Linked DNA regions of Mus musculus. The protein of the gene in region 2 interacts with the protein of the main gene of each other region in a biochemical or structural test. Links are inferred from orthologs where the notes say so. Each region holds a gene or a part of one and is shown on either strand. Other genes may lie near its edges. The genes, in order: Ect2 and Racgap1.

Region 1 (3,819 bases), on a different chromosome or scaffold from region 2:
TGACAATAGATTCCTACCCAAGTAAGTTAGTGTCAGGTGACACAGTAGCATAGTACAATAATCCCAACCCCTGGGAGGCTGAGGCAAAAGATAACGAGTCTGCGGCTAGGCTAGGCAACATGGGCAGACACGATGCATACCTGTCATCCCAGAACTTGAGAAGAAGGGGGGGTTCTCTGAGTTTCAGGACCCCCTGGTCTATCCACAACCAGGGTTACAAAAATAGAGACCCTATCACAAACAAAATCCAAACATAAAAAGACCCTCTCTTGAGAGAAAAATATAAAATATTTTCTCCTTTTTAAAAAATTCTTTTTAAGAAAATATATAGATAATTTAGACATTCAAAGACACAGGTTTGTTTTCTAAGAGGGCTTTCTTTTCATAAAGCCAACAGTGAAATATCTGTTCTCACTCCTTGACCTAGCTGCCACTGCTGGTCATACAGCCTTTACTACCAATACTACCTACCAACCACCCCTCACATCACACATTTCTTTTCTTTTCTTTTTTTTTTTTTTTTTGGCTTTTTGAGACAGGGTTTCTCTGTGTAGCCTTGGCTGTCCTGGAACTCACTTTGCAGACCAGGTTGGCCTCGAACTCAGAAATCTACCTGCCTCTGCCTCCCAAGTGCTGGGATTAAAGGCGTGCGCCACCATGCCCAGCCCACATCACACATTTCAACATCTAACTTCAGTCTCCTTCAAGGTTTTATCTTTGAGACAGGGACTTACATAACACCGGCTAACTGCAAACAGCAGGAAAAGGCAGTATTTAACTGATTCTCCTGTCTCCACAGTGGTCTCCATGCTGGGATTATACTCGTGCACTATCAGGACAGGTATGCTGGGCTATGTGTGCTAAGCAAGCACTCAGTAGCTAAGCTATGTCACAAACCCTTTACTGACTTTCCAATGACAACCTCCATCTGATCCTCAAAAAAACGTACCATCAACAGAGGAGTGACATTATTAGACACAAGCCAGGCTTGGTAGATCATGCCTATGAAGGAGCTGGGAACTGGAGGATACTAATGAGTTCAAGGCTAACCTGGCCTACACAATCGTTTCTAAATGGTATATGATCGTCTCAAAATAAACATTACAGAGTAATACTATACTGAAAAGACAAAAACAGTAAGCTTACATACCCTAAATTTTTCGCCTTGTGTACAATTTGCCACCAGATGTGTTACTTTGGAATTACACTCTTTTCGAATAACTCCACCCATATGATGAACCAACGTCACCAATTTGACCTCAAAAGAAAAATTAAACAAAATTGATTTTAATTAATTTGAGCAAAATTTGTACTAAGTCATTTAGCATTAACTACTTTACAAAACTTTAAAAAAACACTTTTAAAAGAGTAGCTTGTTAAAAAAAAGTAGTTCTTGCTACATGTAAATCTATAACAAAGATAAGCAATACACAGAGTATTAAGCTAATAATAGGCAACCAACTCTGATACTGCCTAAACACACAGATGTAGTATTTTCATTTATTCACCTTCTATTTTTTTTTAACAATATTGGGAATTGAAGCCAAAGCCATATACCCACAAACAAATATATCAATTTCTTTTCTTACACTTTATCTTTATTTATGTGTCTGAGAGTATACACACACACAAGTAGGTACCCACAGAGGCCAGAAGCAGCGTCCCCCAGAGCTGCTATTATAGGCAGCTCTGAGACCAGACACGGGTGCTGGGAACCAAACTTTTGTCCTCTAATGAGCAGCAAGTGCTCTTAACCACTGAGCCATCTCTCCAGCACCAAAATATTGAGTTTTAATATCAGGTTATATAACATCAACATTCTTCCCACAAAATTACAGTAATACTTACTAGTTCCAACTTAGGAAATAATTGTGAACCAAAAAAAGTTTCTATGGCTTATTCATCAAGGTAAAAGTACTTTAAAGTTTAGCTTGCTTTAAAGCAGTATTCATTTTGTTACAAACCTTCAGTTGACCAGTATAACTAATAATTAACAAGAGAGTAAAAGAGTTCACAGTTATGCAACTTTCTAGGAATTCATGGGCCAACTATCACTTACAAACATGAGTTTTTAAATGACGTCACAACACCAAACAGAAATGATGGCTGGATGCAATCTAACCCTGCGTTACTAGGTCAGGGTCTCATACTTACAAGCTCCTCCTTCTTCCTGAATCCAGTGAAGCAGAGCACCAGGTTCAGCATACTCGTACAATACAGCGGCCGGCAGGAAAACGGCAAGGGCTGGAGGACACAATTCCAAACTCATGAGCCTCCTTCTCCGTTAGCATTGAGAAAGCATTTCCTCATGCTTAAAGATTTCACTCTTTACCCGTTAACTTTTCTGTCTTTTGTTTTGGTTTGTTTGTTTGTTTGTTTTTTCAAGACAGGATTTCTCTGTGTAGCCCTGGCTGTTCTGGAGCTCACTCTGTAGACCAGGCCTGCCTCTGCCTCCCAAGTGCTGGGATTAAAGGCATGTGCCACCACACCTGGCACCAGTTAACTTTTCAATACCCAAGGTTCACACACTCACATACACCTTCATACTCATTCAAATACACATCAAAAAGAAATAAAAAGCGCTGGGCGTGGTAGCGCTCACCTTTAATCCCAGCACTCACAGACAGAGGCAGGTGAATCTCTGAGTTCAAGGCCAGCCTGGTCTACAGAGTGAGTTACAGGACAGCCAGGGCCATACAGAGAAACCCTGTTCCAAAAAAACAAAAACAAAAACAAAAACAAAAAAAGAAGAAGAAGAAGAAAAGGAAAAAGAAAAAACCTAAAATAATTTTTCTAATTTAAATCGTATGATAATGGATATAATACTAGTTTTAAGTGGAAAAGAGAATGGCTTATGTGTGCACCTTCTTGGAAGCCAGGACTCATGGCATGAGCCACCATACCCAGCAACAACAAATTATTCTTATCCTAAGTGCTACGTGTACTCGACAATTAACAGCATTTTCTAATTATAAATTTTCAAAGAATGCATTAATAAAAATGTATTCTTGAGATGACAAACGTACGTTTCTTACCTCTCCCCTTTGTGCACAGTTGAGTATAACTGGTGGCCCAACAATCCTACAATCAGCCTTGTATAAGTCATTGAAGACAGAATTCTGGAAGTCAGTAACTACAAATATATTCTCAAATTCTGGGGAATCCAAACTTTCAAATTCTTCCATTGAGTCCATCTTTACACAGGGCACTTTCATTTCCTGGATTTTTTCATAGTTATTACAAATAAAAATAATTCATAGGTCATATAAAATAATATACGACTCCCTAAAATTGACTCCTGTATTTTTTTGACATCTTTTTAGAAATTTTAACTGTTAAAGTCTATAATTACCAACATAACATATAACAGTGTAGAATCATATTTCTCTACTTTATACGTCATATAACCCCATACACATTAAGACCTTGCTCTGAAGACATAAGCACAGGCTCTCTGACTCTGGTCTATAAGCCACCTAGCATGCACAGTAAGTTCCAGGTACTAGAATAGAACACCAGGTACTTTCCTTTCCAGGGTTGTAGTTTTAGTTGTTGGTAGTAATAGGGATCAAACCTAGAACTCAGAGCATGCTAGGCAAGCACTCTACCCATGAACTACTGAGTGATAAAATTATAGATATGAGCCACTAGGCTACACTTTTAAAAAAATGTAAGTACATGTATTTTGATTTAGGTATATATCCACCAGTTTTTATTCTGAGCAAGAAAAATGATAATCTACATATGCAGCTATCTTAAAAAAAAAAAAAAGAAAAAACCCCGCCGTTTAACACTTAGTAAAAGGTTACTGATTGACAT
Region 2 (3,819 bases):
ACAGTACAGTCAAGGCACTTATTACACACAATACACAAGTTGTACCTTAGTACACAACAGCTTTGACACTGCCAGAGTTTCACACCTTCTTTCTAGTGCTAAGGACCATGTCCCATGCCTCACAACCACCTGTAACTACAGCTAGAGAGGCTCTGGTATGCACATGCACACACACACACACATACATAATAGTAATTAAATCAGTCTTTGAGTTTTTTGACTAGACCTAAATAAACTGATAATTTTTATAAAATAAAACAGGCATCGTGGCAGAGGCCTTTAATCCCAGCACTCAGGAGGCAGAGGCAGGTGGATCTCCAAGTTTAAGGCCAGCCTGGTCTACAGAGCAAATTCCAGGACAGCCAGGGAAACACAAAGAAACCCTGTCTTGAAAAAAATCAAAATATTAATAACAATAATAAGAAGAAAGAGAATAAGAAAGAATTCACCAGGTAAGATCGAGGACAAGAACAGCTTTGAGTTCACGACTGTAAAGTTAAATGGTAGGAGCCAGGGGTAGGCTATAAGAATGGCTACTGTGCATGTGTGAGATCTTCCTAGGAGCGGGGGGGGGGGGGGGGGGACGACGACGACGACGACGACGACCTGCTGTAGAAAGGTCCAAACAACATTCTGACATTTTACTATTTCTATTCATTTTTCATGGAGGGAAATTTTATTTGAGATCAATAATTTTATATATATATTTATTATTATTATTATTTTATTTTTTTTGGTTTTCTTTCGAGACAGGGTTTCTCTGTATAGCCCTGGCTGTCCTGGAACTCACTCTGTAGACCAGGCCAGCCTCGAACTCAGAAATCCGCCTGCCTCTGCCTCCTAAATGCTGGGATTAAAGGCGTGTGCCACCATGCCTGGCTTTTTTTTTTTTTTTTTTTTTTTTTTTTTTAAGATCAATAATTTTAAAATAAAAACCTGACACTATGCCTTTTACAGACAAATGGTGGTTGGCTGCCATGATACTTACCTCTCCAATCTTAACCGGTGTCCCCACCAGGGGGGGGATGCAGGGAAGGGGACATCGGTCCCGACATTCTGGATGGGAGACCAAACGACAGTCTCGACACTTCAGAGACAGCTTGCCAAACTTGATCCGCTTTCCACACGGAACACAAGATTCAGGCTTAATAACCTGAAGATACAACAGGGCAGAAGCATAGAATAATATGAATAACAGTTATTGTCAACCACATGCATCAAGCGCACAGTGTGTATGAAACAACATTTTAGGCCCATCACACATGCTAATATAATAATTCCCACCACCACAACAACAATAGCAACAACAAAAACTGTAAAATAGGTCTTGTTTTCTTCATTTTAATCATAGCAGTGCTCTGGTGAACATGGTGACATGCTTTAATTCAAGTACCTAGGAGACAAAGGCAACTGGATCTCTGTGAGCTCAAAACCAACCCGGGCTACAAAATGAAGCCCTGTCTCAAAAAAAAGAAGAGGAGGAAGATGAAGAAAAAAAGACAAAAGGCCAACTGCCAATCCCTCCTCAGTTAGGGGTGGATCCTTAGGAGCCCTTCCCCGACCCGTGCTGCAGAACGTAGGAGTGGCTGTTCTCTGGAGGCTGCAGAGACGTTTCTCGTGCTCCAGTGCATGAATCCTCATACCTATGCATACACGGCAGCACTAATGAGACGCAATTAATTACTAAAAAATAAAAAGAGGACATGATGCTGAGTGCGGCAGCGTGTTGAGATGTTTTAGAGGGCCAGAGAACGGGGTCTCCACACACTACATGCATGTCTGAAATTCTCAAAGAACAGAGCTTGTCATACGTTTAGTAAGTGTTGACAAAATCTAGAGAAGCTGAAAGTCATACACTACTCAGCAATGTAAAATAAAATACAGTAGCCACCTGAGGGAAGGTCTAGGAGAACCTCAGAAAGATAAGCATAGCTACAAAACGACCCAGCAACACCACTTCTAGAGACGCATATCCAACAGGAACAAAAACGTCTACGAGACATTTGTGCACATATGTAGCAGATGAAGATAGAAAACCCTCAAGCTCTGTCCACTGATGGATGGATATGCGGCATATGCTTTCCATATAGGTGACATCATTCATCAAATTAATAAAGAGAAACAAAACAAACAGGCTAGAGAAGGGGTGACTGACTGAGAGAGGCCAGACACAAAGGCACACATACTATATGCCTCGTGTATAGGAAATGTCTTACAATAGACAGCCCATAGAGACAAGAGTGGTGTCTATGGTGGCAGCCAATGGCTACTGGATGTTGGTGTGGCATAGGACAGTGGGGGAAATTCTATTAGGTTTAGGATTTCACTTTTGGGGGTAAAACTGTTCTAAAATTGCTACTGTTGACAGATACCCAATTATATGACTACGCTGAATGTCAGCAGGTTGTACATTTAAATGGATGAGCAAAGCCAGGCAACGGTGGCTCACACCTATAATTCCAGCATGGCAGAGGCCAATGGAGCTACAAAGACAACTCAGAGCCTAAGAGAACTTATTATTCTTGCAAAGCACACAATCCAATTCCCAGCACTCATTGGGCAGCTCACAATTGCCTATAGTTCCCACTCCAAATGACCTGACACCCTACACTAAGATCAGCAATATCATGAAGGTAATTTTAAAGAAATTAAAGGGGGGGTTGCTGAAGAGATGGTTCAGCAGTTAAGAGCATCAACTGCTCTACCAAAAGTCCTGTGGGTAAAGGCACTGCCACCAAGCCGAATGGCCTGGGTTCAATCCCCAGGATGCTTATGGTGGAGGGAGAACCAGCCATGGCATGTGCACGCCCCCACTCAGCAGGGACATGGAAAATTGTCATTTCTGGGCTGGCGAGATGGCTCAGCAGGTAAGAAAGAGCACTGACTGCTCTTCCGGAGGTTCTGTGTTCAAATCCAAGCAACCACATGGTGGCTCACAACCACCTGTAATGAGATCTGATGCCCTCTTTTGGGGTGTCTGAAGACAGCTACAGTGTACTTATGTATAATAAATAAACAAAATTAAAAATATATTAAAAAAAGAAAGAAAACAGTCATTTTCTTTGAATAAAATTAGCATATGTGAGTGTATATAAAATCAGCCCAATAAAGTCTCGTGTAGATGTTCACCCTTTTAATCCCAGCACTTGGGAGGCAGAGGCAGGTAAATCTCAAATTCATGGCCAGCCTGACACAGATGGAATTCCAATAGCATTGGGGCTACACAGAGAAATCCTGTCTTGAAAAAAACAAAACAAGCTAAACAAAAAGAAACAATGTCCCCAGCCCCCTAAATAAAAAGATAACCAAACAGGAGAGGTGAGAAGGTGCTACAATCCCAGCATGCTGGAGGCCAAAGCAGAAGGTACAACAGAGCTGGAGGCCAACCTGGGCTACAAAGAATGAATCTGTCTCCAAAATCACACTAATTGCCTCAGAAGAAATGAAGCCATGTCAGACTTACCGTCTTTGAGACGAAGTCGTGCAAGCGCATGCCTCCAGTATTCTGAGGTGTGCCCAAATTGTCTGTGTCAGTTCTTGGCTCCAGTGGCCTGCTGTTCAGAGCGGAGTCACTGTTCACAGGTTGTAAAGGTCCTAGAAAAAGACCAAATTTAATCCCATTTTCTCTTTTTAACTTCTTTTAATATAACTGATAGTAGCAAAAGCACACACACACACACACACACACACACACACAGAGTTTCCAAGAAAAGCTACAATACTCCACTAGTAGTGCACACTCATCCTGGCCAGACCCTAGAAGTAAAGAGCAGCAGAGGAACCTCTCAGTAGGCAGTGAGAACCTCCCCCTCTCGGCAG

What was found.
Region 1: the proteins of Racgap1 (region 2) and Ect2 form a complex in vitro, tested with the Homo sapiens proteins (3 studies listed by BioGRID and IntAct, with this or other methods). The link is inferred for Mus musculus from reciprocal best matches to the Homo sapiens genes RACGAP1 and ECT2.

Annotation. Positions count from the first base shown.
Region 1 is NC_000069.6:27,143,802-27,147,620, forward strand, and holds part of Ect2 (protein ECT2), read right to left. Parts: intron 3,219-3,819; coding exon 3,036-3,218; intron 2,245-3,035; coding exon 2,155-2,244; intron 1,259-2,154; coding exon 1,151-1,258; intron 1-1,150. UniProt on the Homo sapiens protein: Guanine nucleotide exchange factor (GEF) that catalyzes the exchange of GDP for GTP. Promotes guanine nucleotide exchange on the Rho family members of small GTPases, like RHOA, RHOC, RAC1 and CDC42.
Region 2 is NC_000081.6:99,627,646-99,631,464, forward strand, and holds part of Racgap1 (rac GTPase-activating protein 1), read right to left. Parts: intron 3,595-3,819; coding exon 3,464-3,594; intron 1,154-3,463; coding exon 989-1,153; intron 1-988.